Linked DNA regions of Sus scrofa. The protein of the gene in region 1 interacts with the protein of each later gene in a pairwise test. Links are inferred from orthologs where the notes say so. Each region holds a gene or a part of one and is shown on either strand. Other genes may lie near its edges. The genes, in order: GRB7, LAX1 and KCTD6.

Region 1 (3,299 bases):
GACAGCGCCTGTGTCTTTGTCAGGACTCATTATCCCACCCAGCCCAGGAGGTGCTGAGGATCTGGATGCTCGCCAACTCCCAGGCTCTGTTAGAGCGCCCTCTGTAGCTTTGGGTCCCATCAGGAAATCGCACCCGGATGAGAGTGCCTTGTCCATTCAGTCTTTTTTTGTTGTCTTTTTAGGGCGGCACCTTCGGCATATGGAAGTTCCCAGACTAGGGGTCAAATCGGAGCTGTAGCTGCCAGCCAACGGCACAGCCACAGCAGTGCTGGATCCTTAACCCACTGAGCGAGGCCCAGGGATCAAACCTGCGTCTCATGGATGCCAGTCAGATTCGTTTCAGCTGAGCCACGACAGGAATGCCTCCATTCATTCAACGAGCAATTCTTGGACATCGACTCTGGGTCAGGCTCCATGCTGGGCACCAGAGACTGGCAGACAGCCAGAAGCACCTCAAGAAACATCCAGCCCGGCCGGTAGGCAGCCTCAATCCATCCGACACCTTCGCAGGGCCTTAACTGGGGCCGACCTTTCCCCTCCCCCTCTGCCCTCTTCCCCTCTCTGCTCCGGCCTAGCCAGGTGGTGCCAGAAAAAAACTCACAGCTGTACCAAAAAATAATCTTTATTGTCACTAGTATAAAACAGAGAAGATCAACTGGCCTCTCGGTCTGTACAAAGTGTGGGGCCTAAAGACCACCTGAGCTGCCCCCATCTCTCCCATAATGCCCTACCCCAGAGCGGTGCCCGGGAGCTCCGTGAAGGGGAGGGGTCCACCCCAGGGCCCTCCCTTAAGGAGAAGGCGAGGGTGGATGAGGCGAGGGGCTGGGGGCGGGGGGCACTTCGGCCTGAAAGAGGCAAGGAGCAGAGAACACCCAGGTCCTGGGTCTTCACGGTGAGCCTGTCCCTGCCTTCTTCATGCTCCGGGTCCATCCTATATGCGGAGGGGTGGCGGCGTGTGGCCTGGAGTGGCTGAGGCGCGGGCCCGCCTGCCTGGTGCTCAGAGGGCTACACGGGTGCAGCAGTGGCGCAGCAAGCAGGGCAGGATGCCGCGGTTCAGCTGGTGGAACTCCACGAGCTGCAGCAGGTCGGTGAAGCGAGTCTGGCCGTCGTCCATGCTGAAGTAAAGGCGACCCTCCTCCTCGCTCTGGGGTGAGCGGCCAGAGGGGTGGCAGGTCAGGGAGGGGCGCCAGGCTGCGGGAGCTCCCTCCTGGGCCAGGGCTGAAGTCCCCCAGTGCTTTCGCAGGAGAAAGCAAAGAACAGGAGATCCCAGACCCGGGGGTGGGGGGTGGGGTGGGGGGCAGGGAGGGGATGCCTCTTGAGAGGGCCTGAGAGGAGGACAGGGTGCTGGCAGTCCTGTGTCTCCACTGCAGGAACCCGGGACTACTCACTGGCAGGATAAGGTAATGCTTGACTTTCTGCACGTGGCACAGAGAGAGGACAAAGCCCTGTGGGTTCCGCTGACTCTCTCGGACCAGGAACAGGCTGCCAGGAGACAGGGCACCATGACCCAAAGACACAGGGCTGCCACTTCGACTGAGGTCTCTGCCCGGCCCAGCACTGCCCCTTACCCGTCTACCAGGCCCTGCTGCCCGATGAGCCGCTGGCTCTCCTCGCGGGAAATGCGTCCATGGAACCAAGGCTGGGTGCGGTGGATGGCTGGGGTGAAGGGAGGCAGATGGACGGTCACTCCGGGGCAGGGACCCTCGTTCTAACCACCCCCACTGGGGGCGCTCAGAGAAGCCACGGCAGCCCCACCCCTGGGGACGCTGGGCCCTCACCCACCTGCACTGAGGCTCGTGCCTGAGGATGGGGTGGGCAGGCTGAGGCGGTGGTTCGTCTTCTTCTGCAACACAGTGGGGGACACAAGGGGTCAGGGCGTGGCTGGGGGATCAGCGGCCCCTCAGGGATACAGAGCCCTCCTTCTGAAGCTGCCCCCCACCCCCCGGCCCTCCCTTTCATCTTCCCACTCCATGGAACCTCGTGTGGGGAGCAGTTCCCAGGATCGACATGCAGATGAATGCAAACCCTCACCCTCCAGGCCTGGGCCTCCTCCAGGGCGGCACTCAGAGCCTCCCGGGGGTTCTCGATGACACGACCAGCATGGCCGGAGAAGTCCATGGCCACCAGCGTGTTGTCCGAGACGCTCCTCTGCAGGTGGGAGAGGATGGGGTGGGTGGAGGGGCAGAACAGGACCAGACTATTCCTGGCACAGGGCTTGGGTGCCTCCCCCGACCCATCCCCCGCTAACACCCCTGTGCTCACTCACCAAGGGTGGGGAACCTGCACAGGACGGGCGCAGGTGGCGGGACTGTGCCTGCTGGTAATTCTTATACAGCTGCACCCCATACTGGGGGATGGAGAGAGAACGAGGTGATGGGGGGGCTGGGCCATGACACCCCCCAGACCAGGTCTTCCCAAGGGCAGGTCTCTATCTCTGCCCCTGGATAAGGGGCTTCCTAAACCAGAGCTGTGACTCCAGCTTTGGACCAAGGATTCTTTTTTTCCTTTTACAGCCGCGCTTGTGGCATATGGAAGTTTCTAGGCTAGGGGTCGAATTGGAGCTGTAGCTGCCAGCCTACACCACAGCCACAGCCATGCCGGATCTGACCTACACTGCAGTTTTCGGCAACACTGGATCCTTAACCTACTAAGGAAGGATGCATCCTCACAGACGCTATGCCAGGGTCTTAACCCACTAAGCTGCAACAGGAACTCCAGACCAAATTCCAAGAGAGCAAGGCTGTGATGCCCCCTCCTTCTAGAGACTTCCTGAGGGCAAAGCTATAACTCCTGCCTGACACCAGGGATCCTGAGATGGGCCCAGGCCAGGATCTCACCTTGAAGAGGCGGAAGGCAGCTAACCAGCAGGTACGGCTCTGCTCGTCCTCGCTGCAGAAGATGCGAAGGCCCTTGTGGCCATTTCGAAGCTTGTTTGGCTGTGGGGAGAGGAAACTGGCTGGTCCCACATCTGCCTAGACCAGGTATCGTTTCCTGTCTCCGTGGGGAGAGGAAACTGGCTGGTCCCACATCTGCCTAGACCAGGTATCATTTCCTGTCTCCGTGGGGTAGGGCAGGGAGCAGGGAGAGGGGTCTGGGTGTCCCCGAGGGAGCTCAGAAGCCCCAGCTAGGTTCCCCAAGCCTGAGCAGCTCCCACTCCCTGCCAGGCCAGGCCACACTCTTCACCTTGATGCAGAAGCCGAAGTCCGTGGGCATCCCGTACAGCTTGCGGCCCTGGGTCACCACGTACACATTGGACTCGTTCACATCGGCCACATACTGCAGGTGCCTCGGATCCTGGG
Region 2 (4,344 bases), on another chromosome or scaffold:
TAAGCCACGGCCAGTTCCACATGGTCCTTTGCAAGACTCTTCCTAATGGGTCTCCCTGCTTTCATTCTTGGCCCCAAACTATCTTCACACACAAGCCAGCATGAGCCTCTAAATGGTAAACCAGATTGAGCTCCTCCTCTGTTTGCAAACTTCCATGATTGCCTGTCACACTTGGGATGGCATCCATGGTCCCTACCCAAGGAGGACATCATGGCATCTTCTGTTCTGGCCTCTGGCTGCCTTTGGCCTTGTTTCCTATCACTTTCCCTCTGATCCCGAAGGTCAGGCCTCCGTGCTCTTCCTGGCAGAGCACGGTCCTCTCTCAGACCTGCCACTCCCTCTCCCATGGCTCAGTCCCTCATTTCATTCAGGTCTCTTCTGAAATGCCATCTCCTCAGACTGATCCTCCCTGGCCACACCCTACTACTCTCAGTCCCTTGTGTCTGCTTTGGTTTTTCTTCATAGCACTTATGGCTGGCTGACATTATGTGATCCGTGCATGGGTTCCTTTGTTCCTATCTGACTCTTCCACTTGACTGTAAGCTCTAGGAGGTCATGGACTTGTCTGTCCTATTCATCTGGTGCCTGGAGCAGTGCCAGTAGGGGCCTGATGAGTATTTGTTAACTGAATGAAGGAATGAATTAGCAAAAAAATTAATGAATAACAAAATACAGCTGGGGGGGGCGCTGCAGGGTTCTGACACTTTATGAATTCATTCCCCATCAGTGCCCCTGTCCACCTGCCAGTGACGGGTATTTGTTTGTCATGGGTCATAACATTACCTCCCCAAACGACAGTGATTTAAAATCACATTATTACATATTATTGCTGTATTCTCATCATAGCACAGAAATTGTACTCTTATCATAGTGCAGAAATGTATACCTCCCAGTGTGAAAGTTTCAGCAGCTGATGGACTTTTTATTTTTGCTAATACGGTGTGGAAGCCTTTGGCAATAAAAATTTATATCTACAATGAGTTCTGTGAGATTCTAGGTCCTAAAGACCTATCTTTAGCATACCTATGATTACATGTTTATTCATGGCAAGTTTTTCTTTATTTAAAAATCTTGTTATAGTTGATTTACAATGTTCTGTCAATGTCTGCTGTCCAGCAAAGTGACCCAGTCATATGTATAAAAACATTTTTTTTTTTCTCATATTACCCTCTGTCACCTTCTACTACACGTGATCGGATATAGTTCCCTGTGCTGTACAGCAGGATCTCATTGCGTATCCACTCCAAATGCAATACTTTGTATCTACTCACCCCAAGCTGGCAGTCCACCCCACTCCCTCCTCCTCCCTCTTGGCAACCCCAAGCCTGTTCTCTGTGTCCATGAGTTTGTTTTTTTTTCTGTAGATAGCTTCATCTGTCACAGCAAGATGTTAGAACCGAGAGACACATCTGTGGAAAAAGTGGGCCTTTTGTGTCCATCGTGGTGGGAACTAGTTTTTGTTTTTGTTTCTCTGAGGAGTGATGGGTGGGACCTGGGGCAGGAAGACAGAGGACAGCCATCGGGCCTCTGAGCATGAGAAATTCAACCAGGGCTGCCAGCTCTAAGGAAGCGCCGCCTTATCGCAGTTCCTCTCCCCCAACAACGCCTTTTTCTCCTCAATGCCCATTCCTTTCCTCCCCGCGGTTTTGAGCAAACTCCGCTGAGCCTAGAATTAAGTGGTCTCTGGGGACCCGAGCCTGGTTGTGAGGCTGGCCACGCTGCTGGGGTAAAGCAGGGCATTCTGTCTACATCAGCGGAGGGGAGCACTCACCACCGTGGCCACTCACCTGTCCAGGGTGCTGAGGGTTCCCTGTAGAGTGCTGGGCTGTGAGGTCCTCCCTCTGACCTCTGAGATGGCCGGCGTGGTCATGCCCATTATCCCCGGACCCTCTCTGGCTTCAGCTTCTCCTTCCAAGCCTTCTCTCAACCATCATTAGCTCGCCAGCCTGTCTGCCCGTTTCCTGGCTCTTCCTTAATTGCTGACTCCCAGGACAAAAGGCAGAATTGGTTTGTGTTTTCCATACATACCTGTGTGGTATAACCACTTATTTTTAGTAGATAAGCATGGCAGGAGTTTCCATTGCGGCTCAGTGGAAACAAACCCAACTAGTATCCATGAGGATGTGGGTTAGATCCCTGGCCTCGCTCAGTGCGTTTGAGGATCCGGTGTTGACGTGAGCTGTGGTGTAATTTGCAGATGCGGCTCAGATGCTGTGTTGCTGTGGCTGTGGTGCAGGCTGGCAGCTACACCTCCGATTTGACCCCTAGCCTGGGAGGCTCATATGCTGGGGTTGCGGCCCTAAAAAGACACAACAAAATAAAACAAAACAAACCCCACTCCCTAATGTACAACTTTTTACTCTCAAAATTTCTTCTTAAAATTTTCTTCATCAAAGTCCCTCACAAGAAAAAGTCTACTAGTTTTTATTTCTTCCTTTCTAAAGCTTCCAATCTAGAACTTTCTCTCCCCCAACAAACTCCTTACCATGAGTCTGTTCCTGAAATGTCAGGCTGAGCTGACCCAAAATACAAAACAGGTTTGGTTCTACCTGGATGTGTCTTCGATGCCAGAGGGGAGAGCTCATCCGGGTGTGGACTCCCCAGCACAGCTGCTCAGGGAGAAGCCGGGTTCCCTGCCTCGTCAGAGCATGAGGGGTGCCGCGGGGGAAAGAGAAGCTGGAGAGAGGTTCCGTGAGAAGCTCATCTTCCCCCAACCCCCAAAGCAAAGAGAAGAGAACAAACAGTTTGCCAGAATGGAAACAGAGAGTCAGCTACAGGAAGCAACACCACCAACGTGCTAATGAAGCCTGGGGCCCAGGAAATGCTGCTCAGCTCTTAATAAGATAGAAGCAAACTTGCCTGCCCCATCTTCCCGGTGGCTGTGGTCTGTGGGGAGCATGATTCAAGATGGGGCAAGGTGGTGGGGTTTGCGATTTGTTCACCTGGGGTTGCTGAGAATTTATGCGCTTTATAAGCCTCCAGATTTGCATTGTGTGCTTTAAGCAGGTCTAAGGAGCACTGGGAGGTGTTTTTTAGAAACAAACGCAGATCCCTGGCACCTGCTGCTGATTCATGGGTAGAGGGTGCAGAGGGGGATGGGTGGTTTTCATAAACACACCGCAGGTGATTTTGACCGAGCTGGTCTGCTTCTTTTCCTTTCCTTTCCTTTCCTTTCCTTTCCTTTCCTTTCCTTCCCTTCCCTTCCCTTCCCTTTCTTTTCCTTTCCTTTTTCTTTCTTTCTCTCTCTCTCTCTCCTTCTTCCTTCCTTTCTTTGTCTTTTTAGGGGTGCACCCCTGGCATAGGGGTCTAATCAGAGCTACAGCTGCCGGCCTACGCTACAGCCATAGCAATGCATGATACAAGCTGCCTCTGTGACCTACACAGCTCAGAGCAATGCCGGATCCTTAACCCACTGAGCAGGGCCAGAGATTGAACCAGCATCCTCGTGGATATTAGTCGGGTTTGTTACTGCTGAGCCACAATGGAGCTCCTATGGGGGTAGCAGGGCCCTTGGGGGCCTCCCTCGTGCCCGTAGCTGCTGCCATCTTGCTCACAGAGCTCTTTCAGAGAAGATCCATCCCAGGATGGTGGTTGTGCACCTGTCTCAGAAGCTGGAAAATTCACCGCCCCCACGCTATGTCTACACAAAGTGCTCCAAACTTTGAAGATTGTTCAAAGCTTTTTTCTAGCTTCCTCCCCCTCTTCCTTTTACCAATTTCCTGACACTCTCTTTCATCTTGGGAGAGTCCAAGGAGAAGGGTGTGAAAAGACTATTTTGAGGGGGTGAGAAGAGCCTCTAGGAGTTTCCGCTGTGACACAGGGGGTTAAGTATCTGACTGCAGCAATGGCTTCAATCCCCAGTCCCGTAAAGTGGGTTAAGGGATCCAGGATTGCTGCGGTTGTGGCTTAGGTCACAGCTGAGGCTCAGATTCAAACCTTGGCCCAGCAACTTCCATATGCCATTGGCACGGCCATTAAAATAAGAAGAAGATGGAGTTCCATCGTGATGAAGCGGAAACAAATCTGACTAGAAACGATGAGGTTGTGAGTTTGATCCCTGGCCTCGCTCAGTGGGTTAAGGATCCGGTGTTGCTATGAGCTGTGGTGTAGGTACCAGACGTGGCTCAGATCTGGCATGGCTGTGGCTGTGGCTGGCAGCTATAGCTGCTATTAGACCCCTAGCCTGGGAACCTTCATATGCCGCAGATATGGCACTATGAAGAAAAAAAAAGAAAGAAAGAAAGGAAGGAAGGAAGGAAGGAAGGAAGATCCTCTGACTTCACTTTCCACAAGGAAGTGGATTCCCAGCTGGACGGCAGGGAAGCCAGCCCATGCCCTGTCATC
Region 3 (3,647 bases), on another chromosome or scaffold:
TCATTCACTGCAGTTTTCTTCTCCTCAGAAATAAACAACTTTAACAATAAAATACATTTGTGGGGCCGAAGAGTCAAGTTTGTCCATAGAGCTGGAATAAGGGTCACAGAGCAATGGCAATTGGTGGCTCACTAAAGAAAAATCTACAAATCTTCAAAACAAGTCCTATTCAAAAGAAATTTGGCAAACTATATGTTCATTGTCCAAATATGCACTCTTTTAGACAAAACTAATAATTCCATAAATTCGCTACTTCAACAGCAGAGAATTCTATCAACTGCATTCTAAAGTTCCACTGAGTCCTCCAGCATCAAATACTAATGTACCTCAGGCAGTATTTATTGGGTGGCAAGAATTGTTCACTGAACCACCAACACGGGGCAGTATCTATTATGGCATAAAACAAACAATGCATATTTTAGATAAGGAATATTATTTTCTCCCTTTAATAATAATCAATAAATACAAACCTAATTTTCACATTTCATTTTTTATTATTGGTTTTTTGTTTTCCTGGTAGACAGTACACTTGGGAATTATACCTTACCAGGCCTAAGAAGTAAGATTTCTACCACAGGGACATTTTGTATTCAGAATCCAATATAAATATTTCTAGTCAGACATTTCCATGGCTACAGATATTTGGTTGCTTGATTTATATGCATAGAAAGAAACAGTTGTCATAACTGTAAAAGCAGTACTTAACAAGTACTTTTAAATGATTGAACAGTTTTCGTTTAATATTACAATACTGCTTATTGGTTTGAAAACTAGGTCACCCTATATGATGTTCTGATTTTTCTCAAAGGCATCATCATGAGTACTCCGTTTTTTCTTTCATTCCTGCATTTTTAGCCTTCTAGTTGAGTTAGAAACTGTTTAATCAGAAATCATCTTAGCACTGTAATAAAAAAAGGGTTGTTAAGGATAGATTATATACCATAATGATTTTCAGACTTCTTTTTATAAAAAAGGTATCTGGAGGCTCTGAACAGGCACATGCATACTCAGGGTGAAGGGAACCACACAAAGAGGAGTCTGCTAAAGCACAAAACTTCCTGCTGGTCCCCAATGCCTTCAAATAAATACAAATATTAAAAAAAAAAAAAAATCCTCACACTGTGATTTAAAAAACAAAAACAAAAACCAAACAAACAAAAAACAGCCTCTTCAATCTCCTTGGGGAGTCCATTTGTAGGAACTTCTCCCAGGCTGAAGGTCAGTCATCGGTCTTCCGGGCCAGCCTGCAGAAAGTCCAGTTGTGCTCCACTGTGTTCTCGTTGGCCCGCTCACTCATGTGATGCACTCGGGTGTTGCGGATTGTGAAACCTTGCTTTGTAATGTATTCCATCAGATGGACTCGAAGAGAAACTTCCTGGTGATAATCACAGGGTCCAAAAGTAAAGGAAACCTGGCAATCTCTGGTGTCCATCATGTGCTTATTCCACTTCGTAAAATAGTTTGATATACCTTCTAGTAAGGAATGGACCTTGGTGGTAATGGTTAACTGGGTTATGATGACAGCTACTGGATTGGAATACTTAGAAAGCTTCCGAGTACTAGATAACTCCACAACTTCTTCAAAAGTATCCATAGGATACAAAGGCTTGGGGTCATTGAGACACTGAATCAAGGGCTCAATCTGATAAAAGTCTGCTTCTTTCCGAAGCAGATCAAATTCCTTAAAATCCAGGGGTAAAGTCAACTCTGAAGTTCTCAAGAAGTTGAGGACATATCGGAAAAGAGGTCCATCTCGATCAATGAAGTAATTGCCTTGAGGATCTCGAGCTGTGGGGAAGTCCCCCCCAAACATAGCTCCAAGCATGGAATCCGGGTAACGTGTCAACGTGGTGAGAGATGTTGTGTACAAGTGTCCACCTACATTTAACGTGACTGGGTCAGTCATCTGAAATTTTTTAAAAAATGATCAGTCATCTCAATTTTTTTTTTAAATCTTAACTTTGACAAATTAAGAAAATTAATGGTAACAAAAAAAGCAACAGATTCTTTCAGACTAGAACACAGCAATCCACTGAGGCAAAATAGCTTTACTTTTAGTGTGAAACCTACCCAGATGAAGGGATCTAACATTTGTTTCCAACAGAAAAAAAGGGTAAGTCCAATTTTTCAAAGCCTTACACTGAGAAAGGAGGACACAGCTTCCAAAGCCATTTAATTTCAGATCCAGTAACTGGAAGAAGTTTTCAGGTCAGAGTATATTATGGGAAGAGAAAGGCCAAACTAAAATATACTCATTTAAGTTTTATTCTGATTTTTTAAAAAAGAGACTTTCTTTTTTTCTTAATTCAATTTAATATAAAATAGAATCAAAATTATTTAATAACATAAAGACATCTACATTCAGTATTTCTTTGTCTTTTCCTCCCAAAAAAAAAAAAGGCAGGGGAATCATGAGGTTTTTGGTTTTTTTTTTTCCAGTTTGTGTAGACTTCATCTTCCTTTTTCATGGAAATAACAGTACCAAACACTGAGTTTAAAATACACAGTTTGGTCGATACAATCTCATATAGCCGAAAGCTAATAGCAGCTTTCAACTTGCGTCATCTGATAGTGTATTTACTTTTGTAACATTAATGTGGCAATCTGGCCTTTAATTTTGAAAAGCAAGCTTCTCTAAATAATACCTACCTTTGGTTTTAGAAATCACATGTAAGAAATAAAATAAGACAAGTAAAGATAGGTACTCGGCAAGTAAAATATTTCTTAACAAACATTTTCAAATAATAGGAGGACACCTGCACCTGTGCTCGTGAAAGAAGTGGCACCTTCTCAACTGTCAACCTCCCCAACCACAAGAAAATGTCCTCTCTTCTTTTTTTTTTTTTTTGTCTTTTTGCTATTTCTTTGGGCCGCTCCCTCGGCATATGGAGGTTCCCAGGCTAGGGGTCAAATCGGAACTGTAGCCACTGGCCTACGCCAGGGCCACAGCAACGTGGGATCCGAGCAGCGTCTGCGAACTACACCACAGCTCACGGCAATGCCGGATCCTTAACCCACTGAGCAAGGGCAGGGACCAAACCCCCAACCTCATGGTTCCTAGTCGGATTCGTTAACCACTGCACCACGACAGGAACTCCCTGTCCTCTCTTGTTACCTACTAGACACTGAAGAGTTACAATTCTATGAAGGAAGAGCTTTAGGAGCAACATAAAGACTGAAAAAACAAGTCATAAAAAGTTACAAAGAGACTCCATGTTTAGCTTGCTTACCTAAAAACACTGAACAAAATAAAAACACCCCCCAAATGCATCTAAATTAATTGGGAGAGTTACATCACTTATAATTTTCATTCTTATGAAATATACCTAAGAATATATTACATAGGGGGAAAAGACACAAAAAATAATTTGCCAGACTTCAGAATGCATCTGCAAAAGCCTCTCACCATATAGCCCCAGTCTCCATTATCCATCTGCTCCAGTGCTGCGTCTCGGGGAGCCCAGGTTCCAGGGAAACTTGGGGAAGAGAAAAAGACATGTGATAGAGCATGTAACCATGAAAACAGAGAAGAAAGGTTTTCTCACCCAACAGAGTAGGCCAAACACCAGAAAACTACTCATTTTTGCTCAACTAAAACCTGCTACAAGGCAAAGATCTGGAGAAGAAAGGATTCCTCTAGGGCCATC

The links.
Region 2: the proteins of GRB7 (region 1) and LAX1 interact in binary tests that used the Homo sapiens proteins (3 or more experiments, as listed by UniProt). The two-hybrid records come from large-scale screens. The link is inferred for Sus scrofa from reciprocal best matches to the Homo sapiens genes GRB7 and LAX1.
Region 3: the proteins of GRB7 (region 1) and KCTD6 interact in binary tests that used the Homo sapiens proteins (3 or more experiments, as listed by UniProt). The two-hybrid records come from large-scale screens. The link is inferred for Sus scrofa from reciprocal best matches to the Homo sapiens genes GRB7 and KCTD6.

The regions. Positions count from the first base shown.
Region 1 is NC_010454.4:22,573,975-22,577,273, forward strand, and holds the end of GRB7 (growth factor receptor-bound protein 7), read right to left. Parts: intron 3,295-3,299; coding exon 3,184-3,294; intron 2,937-3,183; coding exon 2,838-2,936; intron 2,348-2,837; coding exon 2,267-2,347; intron 2,149-2,266; coding exon 2,032-2,148; intron 1,844-2,031; coding exon 1,783-1,843; intron 1,657-1,782; coding exon 1,569-1,656; coding exon of another isoform or gene 1,565-1,568; exon of another isoform or gene 1,483-1,564; coding exon 888-1,482; 3' UTR 605-887; downstream 1-604. UniProt on the Homo sapiens protein: Adapter protein that interacts with the cytoplasmic domain of numerous receptor kinases and modulates down-stream signaling. Promotes activation of down-stream protein kinases, including STAT3, AKT1, MAPK1 and/or MAPK3. Promotes activation of HRAS.
Region 2 is NC_010451.4:64,459,124-64,463,467, reverse strand, and holds the start of LAX1 (lymphocyte transmembrane adapter 1), read right to left. Parts: upstream 2,916-4,344; 5' UTR 2,486-2,915; intron 2,029-2,485; exon of another isoform or gene 1,980-2,028; 5' UTR 1,877-1,979; coding exon 1,788-1,876; intron 1-1,787. UniProt on the Homo sapiens protein: Negatively regulates TCR (T-cell antigen receptor)-mediated signaling in T-cells and BCR (B-cell antigen receptor)-mediated signaling in B-cells.
Region 3 is NC_010455.5:40,216,916-40,220,562, reverse strand, and holds the end of KCTD6 (BTB/POZ domain-containing protein KCTD6), read right to left. Parts: exon of another isoform or gene 3,477-3,647; 5' UTR 3,434-3,476; coding exon 3,407-3,433; intron 1,907-3,406; coding exon 1,220-1,906; 3' UTR 472-1,219; downstream 1-471. UniProt on the Homo sapiens protein: Probable substrate-specific adapter of a BCR (BTB-CUL3-RBX1) E3 ubiquitin-protein ligase complex mediating the ubiquitination and subsequent proteasomal degradation of target proteins.